Drosophila melanogaster: one gene and its partner. The protein of the gene in region 2 interacts with the protein of the main gene of each other region in a pairwise test. Each region holds a gene or a part of one and is shown on either strand. Other genes may lie near its edges.

Evidence for each region. The genes of interacting proteins can lie anywhere in the genome.
Region 1: the proteins of betaTub60D (region 2) and CG15450 interact in a two-hybrid assay, tested with the Drosophila melanogaster proteins (one large-scale study listed by BioGRID).

The regions. Positions count from the first base shown.
Region 1 is NC_004354.4:20,820,589-20,827,593, reverse strand, and holds CG15450 (uncharacterized protein), read right to left. Parts: upstream 5,449-7,005; 5' UTR 5,311-5,448; intron 3,305-5,310; 5' UTR 3,303-3,304; coding exon 2,079-3,302; 3' UTR 1,953-2,078; downstream 1-1,952. Other genes in the region: shakB (shaking B), read left to right, coding at 1,248-1,606.
Region 2 is NT_033778.4:24,302,331-24,313,173, forward strand, and holds betaTub60D (beta-Tubulin at 60D), read left to right. Parts: upstream 1-3,550; 5' UTR 3,551-3,751; coding exon 3,752-3,808; intron 3,809-8,391; coding exon 8,392-8,500; intron 8,501-8,562; coding exon 8,563-8,807; intron 8,808-8,863; coding exon 8,864-9,817; 3' UTR 9,818-10,769; downstream 10,770-10,843. UniProt on the Drosophila melanogaster protein: Tubulin is the major constituent of microtubules, a cylinder consisting of laterally associated linear protofilaments composed of alpha- and beta-tubulin heterodimers.

The sequences.
Region 1 (7,005 bases), on a different chromosome or scaffold from region 2:
TAAGTGATTTAGGGATCTCAGTGAAATACTCATTAGCGCGTCGAGCTGATTACTGAATAGCCCTTAGTGATTAGCGACTAGTGTCAAGTGCCATCAATCAGAGTTGCTTTCGATGAATCACTTAGCCGACAGCTGCCGCGAATGCACTCGTTGCAAATGTGGCGCGTCGGAGGGCGAGTTGCACTCGCCATCCATCAATTAGTTGAGCACTTGCCACCCCCACCACCCAGTTGCCCACCCACTCAGCATATTCGTTTAGTCAGGCGCAACCCCGCAGGGGAACTCCCGCGTGTCCATTCCCTATCGCAATGGCAATCTGCAATCTGACAAATCAAATCTTGTATGCAAAGCAGCCAAAGCAAAGCGGCAACTGGCGACACGAGCAGCAGCAAAAGCAACAAGGCGACGAGCAATTTGTACGAGCATTTGTGCCAACAAAACGCTGGCACGCAGGCGAGCAGGAAATAAGGCAAGCTGGAGAGCAGGAAATCAGGCAAGCAGTGAGACAGGCAAGCGAAGTGAAAGCACGCAAGTGAACTGGAGACAAAGCGAAGCAAAAACAAAAGCATAGACGCAGCTGAAAAGCGCCCAAGCAAAAGTATCGAAAGCAGCAGAAAAGGTACCAAGACGCAAAAGTAGTGTAATAGTCAAATCAGATAGGTTAGTAAAGTTAGGTAAGGCAAGAAGGAATTCGTAGGCTAACAAAAGCTGCAAAGCACGAGAAAAGCAAAAGCACGTAATAGATATTTTCAGAAGCAAGAAAGCGAACCAGCAGATGAAAGCAGGATCCAAAAGAAGAAGACTAGTCTGAAGAGGAAAGCAAGAAAGCAGCAGACAGAAGAGCTAGCAGGCAAAGCAAGTTAGCAAGCAAGCAGATATAACAAAAAGAATAGCAGGAAAGCAAGATAGCAAGCAGGATACCGAGCAAGATAGCCTTATTCCAAAGCAAAAATCAAACAGTCAAGTAACCGATAAGGAAGCGAACGCAAGCAGATTAGCAGTAGAGCAAGTTAGCAAAAAAGCAAGTAAGCAATATAGGGAGCAGGAGACGACGACTAAATAGTTGCGTGACCAGCGCGCTTTGCTCACTAAACAGCGTAATTGGTCATAAAGCGACTGCTGCGAATGACCCGCACGCCGGACTAACCGACCGTTTACGGCAATTACTAACCGGAGCAGAGGAGGTGACAAGCAATTAGGCGGTCGGCAGGCGGCGGCGGGGGGTCGGCCGGCCCCCCCAACCCCGGATGTATAAGCCGGACACGCTCACGCGCCGCGGCAGCCTGAGATCCCTGCGCAGCGCCCCGCTCCTGAGCACCGTGCTCGAAAGCACGCTTTCACTGACCCGCATTCACCCGATCGCCTCCTTGGAGCTACCCGGCCTCGACTATGCGGTCCACTCGCAGTCGGCCTTTGGCGCCTACGGGCTAGCCCACCCCCGGGATCTAGCCACCTGCACCTCGTTGCGCAGCGGCCTTGCGGCGATCACCGCGGCGTCCGCTTCCGCCGCCGGCGGCGTTTCCCAGTCGCAGAGCGCCCTCCTCGGAAGGTACGGGCCCAACGCCTCGATTCGCCACGGAGAAAGAAAGATTGTCCAGCCAAAACGGTAGGTCCTCGCTATCTATAAGGTCACCACCACCATAGGGACTAGAGTCATATGTCATGAGAGGTCTAGTATATCATATCTAGTTAGTGCTTATCTGGGGTCAGATCCAAAGGACTTACGACAGAATAACTTTTTATAAGTGGATACACAGCATCCGGTTTAACCATTTAATAGCTTTGTTTTAATCAATCAGTTGTCTGGCTATCAAGAGATAGAAAAGCATATAATAATTGGTTTATAGAATAGCCTACAGAATGCAAGGGGTCTTCCCTTCTGGTCATCGAGATTAGCTGCTCCACCACTTCGCGGCCAGAGAACAGTAAAATAAGTGAATTTATCACATTTTGCTCTCTAAAATATATCGATCGATTTACTAGTATCAAAAGGGTCATACAATCAATATACCAACAGCGTACGGTATTGCAAACGGCGATATGAAATAGCCAAGGTAAGAACCTAAGCTATGCTTGAACTATTGCCAGTCCCTGACGGGACTCCAGCGTTTTAGGTTTCCGTCCCAGGGCAGATCATCGATATTCGCCTGGGCGGCGATTGCGGCCTTCACTCGATTCGAAAACTCTACTGGGGACTCGTCGTTGCACCGGCTGAGTGCCGGCATGTACCAAACATCGCAGCAAATGCACCACGAGCTGACCACCATCAGCATGTATCTGAGCATAGAGTAACGGGTGCTGTCCCAATAGGCCTCGCCGAATCGGCGATCGTATCGAATGGCCACTGGATGAACGACGTCGCTGACCGCGAAGCTACCCTTTTTGAACTGCATTACGGCGGTGTTGTTGATGCAAGTGCCCTCGGGGAAGAGCAGGACCGGCGGCCGATCCTTCATGGAGCAGTGTAGGCGGAGCACCAGACCCAGAGCCTCACGATCGGCCAGTTCCTTGCGGTCGAACCACATGTGGTGGGAGACCCTCGACAGGGCGCGCTGCAGGACGCCCAGGATGCCGGTGTGAACCTGGCCCGTCAGCGAGTAGTTGGCATCGCACATCAGCACCAGGACGTCTAAGGGGCTCGTGTGATTGCACACACAGATGCCCTTGGTGGGCCGATACTCCGTGTTGTGGAATCTGCGGATCATCGGCAGGCAGGCGGCCGTGATTCGGAAGCACTGCCGCAATACCAGCTCCACCAACTTTTTCTTGAAGCACCAGTCGGGAATGTGACCCAGCAGCATTGAGACTCCACTGATCATGAACAGGCACAGCCAGCAGCCAATGGTCCTGAAGGGCAAAAGCAGTCCGTAGCGTACAACCCAGCCCAGCAGCCAGACCGTCCTTAAACGCCAGCTGAGGTATCGATTCCTCTGACGAAGGTTGCGGGTCAGCAGATTCCATTCCCCAGCTGGCGAAGGTGGGGCCACAAACCTCTGGGTCACGTCGTCCTCGAGCACCAAGCCCAAGCCGGCGGTTATGAAGTCGCAGCACTGCTCCACTCGGATATTGAGACGATTCTTGATCGGCGGCGAGAGCAGCTTCTCCATGCCATCGCCCTTATTTCCGACCGCCCACTTTTTGCCCAGGCGGCACCGTTCTTCGCGAGCTCGCCTCCTGCGAGTTTCCGCCAACTGATTGCCTATCCAGGCGAAGAGGAGTTCCAGGACATCCAGGTAGCGGCACTGCAGCCAAAAGAAGGACGCCCACAATAGGATGCCCAGGAAGACCAGTTGAATTAACATGGCTGTTGAAAGTTGAAAAAGTTTTACAAATTTAAGAGAAATGTAGATCCTCGTGTTTACCTCCTACTCCTATCGACAACAAAAATCTATTGAGCCTTGACAGCTAAAGCCCACGGGCTAAAAAGCCCATATCTTAAACTTATCCAAACATAGCCCACTGGGAAAACGTTCCATAACAATAGCATTGGTTGTGGTGCGGTTTAGAGGTATTTAGGAAAAGGGTTGTCGATAAGAACTTCCAGCCCGATACAAATTTTAGTAATTCTTAATGAGCTGCATTAATACGAGTATTAAGTATAGGAGTTCACCCACAAATTTCGCCATTAAAGCCCTAATTCAATTTGGCGCCGACTTTTTGGCTTTTCCTCACATTTTTCCGTTTTCCGAATATATATATATTTTTTTTTTTTGCAAGCGCCCAAAAGTCTTGATTTATTTTGCCCGAGATGTGAAGGAAAAATAAGAAAGCGAACAAGAAACTTTGCCATCGACTTCCCTTTTTTTTTTGGCTGCCAGTTGGGTTTGAGTTTTTGGGTCTTTGGGTTCGGCGTTTTGACTGGGGTCTTAGCCCATATTTTGTTTTTTCATATGGCAATAATTCAATTATGCCATAACAAGGCCGCAAAATGTTTGCCTTCGGGCGACCCGAAATCACTTAAAAACCACAGAAACTTCTGGCTTTGTTAATTCGTTAATTAAATGGGGTTTGCGCTTTCGCCACCGCTCCTCGAGGATTACGCAATGAGCGATGATGGCGATGGCTTGGCGGTATGTTGGTATGATGGTAAGATGGTGGAGCTTCCTTCCGCTGCCCTCCATTGATTACATTGGCTGGCAACAATCTTGGCTTATCAAATGCAAACAACGGCGACAGGCAACGTCAACGTCACCGACAACTCATTTATGCCCAAGCCCGGGCCCTTAATTAGCATAGAATGTGTTTTAAAAAGCCACTTGAGCTAAACATTCAAAACACCTACAGGGTGTTTTCCCCAGCCACCAGACACCAACCTTCTGCCCCATCCTCATCCCCATCCCCATCCCCACTACCTGTCTCGCGCTTTTCCTCGCTTTTCCACTTTTCCAGCGACAACGACAACGACCTTAGGCGCTTTCTGCGCGGGAAAGTATCTGCGTGGCACAGTTTGGCAAGTCTGAGGCCGGACAGATTTAAATACCCTAACTGCCGAAAGCGAGGAATTCAAATGAAACCAGCGACTGGGGGGCCACCGGAAGATTCGCAGATCCTTCGTAAATGTCAGGGAAACAAATTAATAGAGTCAAATTCAATAGATATGAAGAAATAATCACTTTTTGAATACGGATTAATATATGGCAAAAATGGGCCTTCAATTTTCAAGACCCAATATGATCTGATGAGCACCGATTTAAAAGTTGAATTCGATTTTCGGCGTATAATCTATATAAGCTCTATTACCATTAAAAATCTTCTTCTTTAATTTCTTAACCATGCCGATTCTTCAGTTCGCTCACTTGGTAATCACCACACTAACCAGTAACCAATAGCCAGTAAACCCTTCATAACCACTATTGCCTGCTTTCCATATCGATCGATTCGCATACATTCAGTTAGGGTATCCGTGTGTCGGTGTCGCCGCAGCAGCGACCACGGCAGCACGTGACGCTCAAGTGTTGGGATAAGCATTTCCGCTCTTCAGACGCTACACGAAAAAAAGCGCCCCTCTTGTGACAAAGCGCTTGTTGTTGTCGTGGAAAAGCGGTGGGAAAGCGTCTGGCGAGGGGAGGGCGGGTGGCAGGGCAAATGAGGGAGCACAAAATTAAATTGTGACGCTGGCGCTCCGACACGCCCACATGACGAGGCGCCGCCACGCCCTCCTGCCATTCAAAAGTAATTTAGCGTTTAAAAAACATTTTTCTGCCTGACTTTTAAAAAGTTGCGCGTAATGCGAGTGTGTGTTTGGGTATTTGCGTGCTTTGCGCAGGTGAAAAAGCGAACCAGCGCTCGGAAAAGCCGCCACTCACTCACCTAGCTGTTGTAGCCACGTTTCGATTTCGATGTCGTCGTCTGTCTGATCCGCCTGATTGTATGTTGTAATGGCTCGGTAAAGGAAGCGAAAAAACCTACTGCCTTCGAAATTTTTGTGCTTATTGACTTTGACGTTTCACCAACCGGCTACGTGAGTGTATTTATCAAGGAGTGAACTGCCGGGAAAATCTGGGAAAATGTCTATTAAAGTGCTGCTTAGATTATGGAAAATCTACGCTATGACAAAAAAAATGGAAGAGCAGGATAATGAAATAAGGGAAGTTGTTAGCACTTTCGCATGGAATAAAATGGCATATTACAAAAAATAACAGCAACGCTTTAGTCGAGTACTGCGACTATTACAACGTTTATGCTATGAGGTATCGTGATCTCTTGAAAGTGTGAAAGCAAATTATCCCCTGATTATGCGGCATTTCAAAAATTCGTGAATTTATTGACCTCATTTATTGGCCTGATTTATTATGCCTTCGGAATCTTCCTGTCTAATCTAAACTTTTTAGCTTTAATAGTTCCTAAGATCGAGGCGTTCATACTGATGGAGTCGGCTATTGAGTGGGATCAGAAATATATATATACTTTATATGGTCGGAAACGCATCCTGTTACGTACTTTTCACCGAATGTAGTATACCCTTTTATTCTACAAGTAGCGGGTTTAAAATGCTTAATATGACGAACATTATTTAACCAATTATTTTGAAATAGTTAAAATAATGTTGATAATATAACTCTGAATGCATCAATTAAAGCTTAGTTTCTTGAACTATGTATTGTGTAATTTGAATTAAAGAAAACATTTAAGCCAAGTCATAGAAGCCAAGTCACAAGCTAGAAAATCCTTTTGCCATTAGATGAAATTAAAAGGCATCAGTCGAGAAATAATGTAAACAATCAAGTGGAATAATGACAATGGAAAAACATTCACCCCACTTCCCCGCATTTGCATAATTTTGGGCAATTATTTCCATAAGTTGTTCATCCCCCCGAAAGCCAGGGAAAATTATAATTTCCTTGGGATTTTTGTTCGCCTTCTTGTACCCCGACTGGAAGTTTGTATGCGGCTGTTTCGAGCCAAGTTAATTAAAAAGTGTTGCCATTTGACCCTCGAAACTCGGAACTTAGAGCTAGCAGCTCGCAACTCAAATCTCTTTGACACTCGATGGGGAAAGCTCGCCCGCACTTTCCCATAATTGGTTTATGCCATTTTCCCGGCTTGTTTACGCGCCGTCAACATTTGCATAATGGAACTGGAATCAAATACAAGAAATGTGATTTATAATTTTTCTGTTGTTTGACGGCGGGCATTTTAATTAGTCCCGGAAGAGGACCCATCGTCTAATTAGGTGGGGTTGGGGCAAGGATCTCCACCGCCATCAAATCATTATTTAATATAAGCCGCCTAGCCTGCCTTCCATGTTTTGATGAATTACTTCCGCCTGATGGACGATACGTGACGAAAGTTGTCAGAAAAGCCAAAAATGGGGTAGGAATCTGAGTCCTATGTATTTTTGATTTGCGGCCGCATCGAGCAGTTTGCCAATCATCCATCCTTGAGGCCTCGTTTATTTGCGGCAATTAATCAAGTTGGCCAGTAGCGGAGCGACTTATCCCCGAATAAGTGATAAAGATTTATCACTCAGCCGCCCCGTTGCCGAGGACCTTAAAGCGATTTAAA
Region 2 (10,843 bases):
TTAAATTGTCATTTGGTCGGTCTCGGTATCGGTGTCGGTGCAAACGCTTGTTGCTGCTTGTCTCGCCTCGTGTTGCATAATTGGCAACGTTTTTGCAATTAAAACAACTAATTGGCAGCAAAAACTATTCGGCAGCCAGAGCAGCAGATGTTAGCTGCTCGTTGCTGCGAAGGCAAATGCGGTGGTTCCATAAAAAACGATGCGAAAAATTAGTTGCATAAATTTCTGCTAAAAGTTGCAACTTTTTGGGGCTGGCTAATTGAAGGTGGGGTGGGGAAAGTGCTGAACGATGTTTTCCTTTCGAAAAAGTGTCCAGCAGCGGCGAACTGAACTGGCCAATATTAATGTGTGTTTTTGGTTTGACAACTATTTTGCTTCTCCCTAATTTTTACGCTCCAGGAAATAGTAGTTGAAATTTAATTGAATGACAGCCCTCAGCATGCCACACATTTTAAAGGAAAAGCTCAAAAAAAAAAAGGGTTGAAAGCACAGGTGTTTATGCTTTGTTCGTTTCTCGTAGGCTTCGGGCTTCAGTCCAGAGATAAAAGTGTAGCTGCCGGCTTTTACTCCCCCAGCCAACGTGGATTGTTATGATTTTACAACAATATTATTTTTCCATCAACAACATCAGCAAAAATCAATCAAGTTCAATTAAATTGCTGCCAACGGACACAAAAAGATGCAGCAAAACTCCGAAAAAAAAGAGAAAACTCATGCAGCCTGAATGCAATTATCCAGAATTAATTTTACATAAAAATTGTGTAGAACAAAAAGGTTTGTCAGCAACAGAAATTAAAATGCCAATTATAAATTGCAATTAAGAGTCGAAGTGTAGGCAAGAAATTAAAATATGGCCTGTCCTGGCAAATCAATCAAACCTAATTGCCTGCTTATAAATACGAGTATGCGACTATGTAAACACGGTAATAACATTTGCACTGTTGCACACGCATCTATGTATGTGCATATGTATTGTTGTTTGCGAATAAATTTAACTATGGCAATGCGCAAATACAAAATACAAAAAAGACAAATGCTGGCTACATTTTGTATTGTACGCATATATTGTATTTTGCCCAAATGTGCGACCCAGAGTGTGTGTGTGTGGGTGTTTTTTGTGCGTGTGCGAGCTACATTTACACAAGTGCAAAAATTCCCAAAACACAAATCCTAAAAAAACATTTGTTACTTTTTGCGGGCTCCCGGGACGAAGGTGGCAAGGGGGAGACCACACCCGCACACACCCAAATCCACACACACACACACACACCCTCGGAGACCAGCTGAATGCAGGCCACCGCCTTCCATTGGTATTAGTGGGCCTTGTTAAAACACGGCGGTGTGTTTCGTCTCAAGCGTAGTCCTGCCCATCGAGGGGTCCTTTTCGGAGAAAGTATCTATTGGGTATTATTGTTTCCGAACTCTAATCTCCATGGCCTCTTGGAAAGCAGCTTAATCCCCCAAGTGCGTAGAAAAGTGCGTAAGCATACGCATCTATCACTAAGCTAGTTCAACCATTTTCAAACCATTGTAACCACTCAGCTGAGAGTATCTTAGATGTATTTCTCACCACTGGTATTTCAACAGGGCAGTTCAGATTACGAGTACATTCCCACTAGCGAAAAGATTAAGCTCTTATGCTGCGAATCCTTCTTTCCAATCGTTTCAGTCAACTCCCTCTGTAGCCTACGCCCTCTGACATTTCTACTCAGCCGATCCGAATTGTCAGCCATATTTGCATACATTGTCCCTTGGTCCAGAGACCTGGAAACTAAGTTCTGGCCAAAAAGACCTCCGCCTCTTAGCCCACTCCTCCAGCGATTGCCGCCTTCGAGCCGAATGATTGTAGTCCTCTTGTTGCGCATGAATGTACAACATTTTGTCTATTCGAGCTCGTAAATTCGAGATTATTTTGTGGTGCATTTAAATTTAGCAAACAGAGGAGCAGAGATATGGATGCGATGCCAGAGCTCCGATCCGCTTCACCATGCCTGTTTTGCCATCGCATTTAAAGTGAATTTTGCGGTTTGACTGCCGCTGAATGGAAATAGGAACGACTGAAGCACTTGAGGAGCAGAAGTCCGAGCCCGATCTTCCTCCCCACTTAGGCCTGCTCTTGGTCTTTCAACTTGAATGCAATTAGAAAGTAAAACGACTACAAATTGTCTTGCCGGGGCATTGATTGATTTCCGAGGAAATGGGGAAATTGACGCCGCAGATCCAAATCCAAATCCCAATCCCGGCCGGTCCCCGAACTGCGAGTCGGGAAAGTCGGCAGCCGAGCGGAGCGGAGTCCGTCTAAAAATACCACTCTGCATCTCGCTTTTCCTCTCCATCTACATTTCCATCTCCACCTCCGTTTCGTTTTCATTTCCATTTTCACCGAGTGCATTAGGAGCTCCAAAACGAAGGAAAAACACATGTAAGAGGACGAAACATTTCTAATGACTGCGGTGACACTTTTGTGGAAGTGCACACAGCCAGTCGGAAAATGCACACACTCGTAGGACTGTGGGACTCTGAATCTCTGAATCTCAGATACATATACATAGGTGCGGATACGGAGAAGTCGGGAGTCGGGGATTCGAGTTGCATACCTGTGCATTCTGCCGGATAAAATTAGAACGTGAAAGTCGCTGCAGTTGACAGCGTAAAAATGTGTGAACTTAGGAACAGGAAAGCGACGGCGGGGTGCCACAATATGCAACTATATATGTGGGTTTCTCCGATTTTCTGCCGCCAGTGCATGAACCAATGCGAAATTAATAACGAAACCGAAAGGCGGCTCCAAATTACACTTGCCACTGACTTGGGCTCCCTGCGACCCCACACCTTTGGCAAAACTTTTCCCCAACTTCCGCCGATTGATGCATAAACTTTCGAATTGCCGAAAATGATTTGAGACCACCCCATGGCCTCCCCCCCCCCCCCTACTTTGAACATATTTTTAGCCCAGTCATAATACAGTCACTATTTTATTGGTACAAAACAACAGGCACTACTCGAAAGCGAGTTTTTCGAATATGAAGATATGGCAAAGTTTAATAATTTTTAGAAACATTTTTATTAAATTACAGCTCAAATGCCTCAGTAATTTCTCAAAACAACAAACGATAAATGAAACTTTAAAAATTAAAGTTCAATGGTGTAAGGGAGTGAGTCAAAGGCAAAATTAGTCAACTGTTTTTAGTCACTAATTTGATTACGATTTCAAGCAAAATAACTGAAAAGATTGGATATCATGAAGTAACTTGCTTAAAAATATGATTGAATAATAATGACAGCTGAGTTAACTTATTGTGTTCAACTTGCATTTTTGTTGGATCCCAAGAGGAGCTGCCATGTGGCGAGTTTTAAGCTCGATAACTCCGCATTGGCCCCACTGTGCGCACTGTGGCTGTTTGCGTATCTGTGTGCGTGTCGGTGTGCCGGTGCCTCGGTGTGTGAGTGCGATCGGCCGTCTCGCTCTGGCCGCAGCGTCGGCACTCGAGTCGCAGTCGACTCAAAGTCACCAGAACATCGTCGACGGACTCGAGTTTTGTTCCGCCGATCAGTTGTGTCTTGTGCGTTGTGCGGTGAAGTTGCGCCTTCGTTCTGAAACCTAATAAGCTGAGAATCAGAACCTCTGGACATCTGAACGTCTGAAAATCCAGCAGCAGCTACTCGGACCGTGCGGTGCATCCTTCTCCAGACTGAGACTAAGATCCGATTCCAGCCTTAGCCTTCGACCCCACAAATCGCCGCTTTCAAGATGAGAGAAATCGTGAACCTGCAGGCCGGCCAGTGCGGCAACCAAATCGGCGCTAAGGTAGGTCTCGTCACTAGTCTCTTTTCCAACTCACATTTTCTCGAGTCGGCCGATCGCCGATTTCTGGTGGCACTTAATTTATTCAGATTGCCCGAAAACGTTTTTCAATGAGTTTCCAAAATGATCGGCTGCGGTGCGCAGTTCGATGTCGCCGCCTTTTTCAGCGCATTCAGCAATTAAAGCGAAAGAAAATTAACAAAAAAAAAAACAAGCACAGATACGTTAAATAAAAAATGCAAAGTGCAAAAAGTGGACGTTGAAAGAAACTTATTTTGAGCTCGTCTGGCACTCGATATGCCCTTTCTGCTTCGCAAAATTCGCTCAAGACGAAGAAAAAAAGAAAACGGGTTGGGCCGGCTGCAGATCACGAAAAGTGATTCATGGCAAACCCTGTCGGGGAAATTGGGCGGGGAACTTTGGGAGGGAGAATTGTGGCTGAGGCGCAAATCAGCGAGGAAACTTCTGGGGACTTTTGCAATTTTTTGACGCCGAGAAGGGAAATCTCTTGAATTATCTGACCGGAGAAATCTTTTCGCTTTGCTTGAGTTTCCTGCGCTCCAAAGAAACCACAAAAAATGCAATAAAAGAAGCAATAGTATGTAAAGAAAGCTTTATACGTTGGTTGGGCAATATAACTTGATTTCAGTAGCAAACTCACTGGAGAAGTAACTGAAGTCCATCATTAATATTTATGAATATAATGTACACAGTTATCCAATTTTTCCCGAAGCTATATACAAATATTTACAAGAGGCTTTCCCAATATGAATCCAACTGCAGCTGTTCTAATCTTTCCTAGAATTACGGGTAGAGTATCCGATGAGCAATCGTGCCAACCAACCACTACTGGGCTTTTATCAATCGAAGTGAGCGAGAAACGGAAACTCGAGTAATGCAAACGATCGGAGCAATTGGGTTCTGACTTATATATAGGATAGATATAGGATAGTCCACTCAATCCAATCCAATCAGCACGCCCGAAAAACCAAGTGCAGTTCTTCGCGAAAAGGAGGCAGGCAGGCAACCGGCTTTTGCGAACTCAGTTGTTTTTTGGCAATACCAGTTTGGATCGATGTGTTTCTTACAAGTGGCACCCCGCTGAGTGCATTTTTCTGTGGCATCAATGTCAATGCCACAGACTCGATTCGCTCCCAATCATCGTCCAATTGCAAAGTGGGTCGCTGATAAAACCACATCATAGTACACTCACGAAAGATAAGCCCGCGGATCTTAATCATTTGATATGAGTCAATTTGTGGAGAATTAGACGACGCAGCGACTGACTAGTCAGCAGCTTCAATTTAAAAGCAAACTCGCCTGCCTTTTCGGCTTCCCGGAATTTCGGCAATAGCAATGGTTTTATGGGGCAGCGCTCGTAGGTATATACATAAGTACTGAATGAGATATGATGGGAAGTTTGTCTGGTAATTTGAGCAGCGAAACCCCCCCGGTAATGTGAGACCCCAAAAAACCGGCAAACTGAGAAAGAAACAACTAACAGCTGAGTGGACAAGCGGATTCTTGAATAAGAATGGCAAAGAATGCCAGCCCGAAAACCGCACAAGTGCAGGAGAGGAAGGAAGTGACTCACCGGACCTGTCCTGTATACAATTACAGGATATCGGGGTTGCCCACTGGCCACTGACTTTGTGTGCGAATCCCCTTTTGGCTCGAGCCACGACGATGAATGCATACTAAGTGTGCGGCCTCCGAGATTAAGTAGGATCCAAGTGGCCGTCCAGATCCGAAGTCAATAAACCCGGGGCTCTCTTTCGGAATTCTTATCGCCTTCCTCCGTCGTTTTTGACACTCCACAGCAGCTGCGGGAAAAGACAAAAGTCAAGAGTGAGTGTGGGTGCGGGTGCGGGGCACTTCAATCGAAGAATTTTCCTCCTCGGATGCCAAATGCTTTATATCTTGTGAAAATAGCACTCTCTTCGTCTCTTTGCATAGCCAGCGATCCTCTGCAGAAAGAAGATGGGCTCCAAGTTCACGCTCGAGTGAGTCTCGCATAGACGAAGTGCAGTCGCGGATTGGGGGAGTGGAGGAGTCTCTGGCTCCCAGACATGCAACACTTAATGAGGGCGTCTCGATTGCCAGTCGCCAGATGATCGCATGCTAGAGGCGTGGCCAGGGGCGGCGGTCCCGTCTCCAAAGGGGGCTTAGACCAGGCCAGTTGCAGTTACTAGTAGACTCCAGGCAGCAGAGCTTAGCTTTGCGAGCTAATTGCACAAATTGAAGATTGGACTCGCCAGCGAAGCTGTTAGAACAGATGTTGTCTATTTTCGTGGATGAAAGCCCGGAAAACTAATTGTGGAAAAGCATAGCAATGAATTCCACTTTGATAATATGAAGGAAAGAAACATATACTCCTAGGATATACTATCTTCTCATACAACCATCTTGCTTGGGGCTTTTCAAGCTACAGTTGGCCAGTTCCATTTGTAGAACGTTTTCCATCACAAGCAATCAACCTTACGTTCCGATTCGACACGAGTTTTCTTAACCAAATTGAATTCTCGCCACCGATCGTGTTCGCCCGAAATAAATCTGGCCGAAAAGCCATCAATCTATAATTGCAATCTAACTGTGCCTCGGTTTATACCTCCAACTGCCGTTCACCGAAAAGGCCGACAGTTTTCCGACAAAGCCATTATCTGGCAAATGAAAATCCGAGGTGGAGCATTAGTCGAATGTAAAAGTAAAGCGATCAGCGATGGTCGTGCCCGCAGGGGGGAGAAGTGGAAATGGGGGGCAGGAGGGGCCGTGAAAAACGACTTTTCACTTCAACAGTTTTGTGTGCTAATTCGGTTTTCATATTTGCTGCTGCCGCGTGTGGTTTTGTTTTCTGTTTGCGCGGCCTTATAAGCCGCGCTTTGTTGTTGGAGCTTCATAATTGCAGCGGCCACACTCCAATTAAATTTGATGATCTTGCTAAGATTGCAGTTGCCTGAGATTCACTTCGTTGATGTAGTTTCCGCCCCTCTCCGCTGGGCCGTAAATAAACAAAGAAATGCAGACGCCATGGGTAGCTCCACTGCTCCTTCTCCTCGCAGTCAGATCCCCATCCCCATCTGCAACCCCATCCCCATCCCCAGTTCCCAGTGCCTTTGTTTATAGTCGCACACGTCAAGTTCAAGTGCCAAAGGGAAACAACTCAGACAGCAGACATCGCTAACATTTTTATTATTTCCCCTATTCCTCGCCGGAGAATCTCGGTGACTGTTGCCAAGCCAGCCGCGTTTCGCTCCGTTGGAGAGGCCATGCTGATCCCCAAAACCGATCCCCAAATAGTCGCCCAATGATCCCCGGAGGCGCCCAAATTTGGTTCTTGTTAAACGCAGCACAACAATTGCAGAGCACTTCCTCAATAAATCGCCGCGATGGCTGTGTATCCATGAGATACGTAATTTATCGCATTTCGATCGGGTCACTGGATGGGAAGGGGGATGTCTAAGGAGGTGGCCCCATCTAATGGTGGGTCATTGGCCTGCAGTCTCTAATTCTTGGCCCCCGATGAGTCAGCAGTCGTGTATCTCTCACACTCCCATCCCATCCCATCGCAACCCATTCCATTCTGCTCTGCTCCGCTATTTTTAAATGCATTTCTCCCCAGGAGCGGCGTGTCGTGGAAATTTTGTCCCATACAGTGAGAAGAGGGACAGGGTTTTTTATTTAATTTTTACCAGCCCGGACGCATTTTTTAAATTTAGCACTAAATCAGGGCATGTTCGGCGGCGTCCAAAACTGACGTTTGAAAAACTAAACATAAATTCGGTTTTCCCTTTTTTTTCGGGGCAATCTGTCTCACTTTTGACTGCGCCATCGGAGGCCCCCTATATGGACAGGCCAGGCCGTCCGCATCCGCATTTAGCCCATATATATACTCGTACTTGTGTATTTTTCCAAACCTCAAACTTTATGGGCTGCGGCTGCGCCTTGTTGTTTGTCACATTGTCACATTTTCACATCGGAGGAGGCAGGAACAGAGATTTCTAGAATGGTTCTTGGGGTGCCTCTCTATGTTTTTTTTTTTTTTTTGGATTTTGGGCGGATTCTGTGGCTGCGGCCATATGTCAGGGCTCAACATGAACTCTGACATGGCTGGGTGGGCACAATTACTCAACTTGATGAACGGCTCCGGGAATATTTAGTGGGTCTTCGTGTCGACTAAAGAATCCGCAATCGCCAAGTGCTCCGCTGGGTTCATAAAGATATCATATGTGTTGGCCGATAAGGATGAAAGATCTCCGCTGGAGTGGCGGATAAGGAGCTGTCAAGATGCGGGATGCAGCTTCTTATCTCAATGGCGTATATTATGTACATACGTATATTTATTTCTCAGAAACATGGCAAGTTTTCTTTGAACGAAGCATTATTTGATGTTCAGGGAATTTGCTAATTGGTTTAATAGACTCGAGCTTGAGAAACTCAAACTAATTACTTCTAATCAAACGAGTTTTTTTACTTTTATCCAATAAATATGACTTTCTTGTATATGCAATTCGAATGAGTTATCATTCTAGGATCCAGCTTTGAGTAAAACTTCCTAACACACTTCCTAACCTTTTGCTTTCCCGCAGTTCTGGGAGATCATTTCCGAGGAGCACGGCATCGACAGCAATGGCATCTACGTGGGCGACAGTGATCTGCAGCTGGAGCGCGTCAGTGTCTACTACAACGAAGCATCGGGTAACACTTTGCCATGTCATTAGATCGCCCAAATGGTTTTCACTAATCGCATCCCCTTTCAGCAGTCACGCGGTCGTCGGGTGGCAAGTACGTGCCCAGGGCCATCCTGCTCGATCTGGAGCCCGGAACCATGGAGTCGGTGCGTTCCGGTCCGTACGGACAACTCTTCCGGCCGGACAACTTCGTGTACGGACAGTCGGGAGCGGGCAACAACTGGGCCAAGGGTCACTACACCGAGGGCGCCGAGCTGGTGGACAATGTCCTGGACGTGGTCCGCAAGGAGTGCGAGAACTGCGACTGCCTGCAGGTTGGTACTTTTGGATGAGAACGTGTTAATCTGGTACTGATTCCGTATGTCTTTAGGGCTTCCAATTGACGCACTCGCTGGGCGGCGGCACTGGGTCCGGAATGGGCACCCTGCTGATCTCGAAGATCCGCGAGGAGTACCCCGACCGCATCATGAACACCTACTCGGTGGTGCCATCGCCCAAGGTGTCGGACACCGTGGTGGAGCCCTACAACGCCACCCTGTCGATCCACCAGCTGGTGGAGAACACAGACGAGACGTACTGCATCGACAACGAGGCGCTGTACGACATCTGCTTCCGGACGCTGAAGGTGTCGAATCCCAGCTACGGAGACTTGAACCACCTGGTCTCGCTGACCATGTCCGGGGTGACCACCTGCCTGCGTTTCCCCGGCCAGCTGAACGCCGATCTGCGCAAGCTGGCGGTCAACATGGTTCCATTCCCGCGTCTCCACTTCTTCATGCCCGGATTCGCGCCGCTCACCTCGCGCGGATCGCAGCAGTACCGCGCCCTCACCGTTCCCGAACTGACCCAGCAGATGTTCGACGCCAAGAACATGATGGCCGCCTGTGATCCACGCCACGGTCGCTACCTCACGGTGGCCGCCGTCTTCCGCGGCCGCATGTCCATGAAGGAGGTGGACGAGCAGATGCTGGCGGTGCAGAACAAGAACAGCTCCTACTTCGTGGAGTGGATCCCGAACAATGTGAAGACCGCGGTGTGCGACATCCCGCCGAAGGGCCTGAAGATGTCCTCAACGTTCATCGGCAACACCACGGCCATCCAGGAGCTGTTCAAGCGGATCTCCGAGCAGTTCTCGGCCATGTTCCGGCGCAAGGCCTTCCTGCACTGGTACACCGGCGAGGGCATGGACGAGATGGAGTTCACCGAGGCGGAGAGCAACATGAACGACCTGGTGTCCGAGTACCAGCAGTACCAGGAGGCCACCGCCGACGACGAGTTCGACCCGGAGGTCAATCAGGAGGAGGTCGAGGGCGATTGTATTTAATGGTGTGGCCAGAGGAATGAGGGGCGTGCGTGACGGCAGGGGGGATAGGGATGTCCGCTTTCTGCGCGGCATGCGCCACCAGCTGGCGGCCAAGCACTGCAGCATCCTGTGACCCCCGCCGTTGGACACACACACAGTCACAGCAGACGCAGACCACACACCACCACAATCATCACACACGGACAGGAAGGACATGCAGACGAACAGGAAGGTCAAGCGTAGTTAGAACATCAAACGGAAATGTTCCCAAGCCCATGCTTCCGCTACTCCCCATCATCCAGCTCATCCATCGTCATCCATCATCGCCCATCCCGCCGCATCATCTCACATCTCACATCTGACATCTCGCATCTTCATCTTTTTGTTCATTTTCGGCACTTGTCACCTCCTCTGCGCTATATACTTTATACTATACTATACTATATACCATATACACACTTTACACGGAGGCACGTCTATCGCATTTCTCGCAGCCATTTTCACCCGCTTTCCAACCCACCCACCACCACCCATGTCACTCCATTCATAACCCCAAGTTATCCCACGTCATTCTTATACTACTATTTATATCGCAACGTCAGCAGAAGGACCACAAGTATCTAGTATTGCAAAGGATATCGAATTTATGCAGAAATCTCAAAACGAGAATGTCCAGCGTCTAGGAAGTCGGCACTCAAGACTTGGCGGCACTTACGTTTAGGGCTATACGATAAACGAGCTCATCCAAAGATAATCGAACGACAACTCTCATGAGATCCTCTATAAAAGGCAATTTCTGAAAAGCATCTGCAATTGTATTTACATAATCTTAGGGCACAATCTATTCACTTTGTATTCGTGTGCAGTACTTCTCTTGTAGTTTTATATGGATAAAAACATTTGTACCCAATAAATAACTAATAATAATGGCAAACATTTTTGACAAATAATAAATGGAATTTATTTAAAATTTACAACATTGTGTTTCTGCTTAAAAGAGAGAGTCATGTATATAACTTCTGAATATTGATAATTATTCTGTATAAT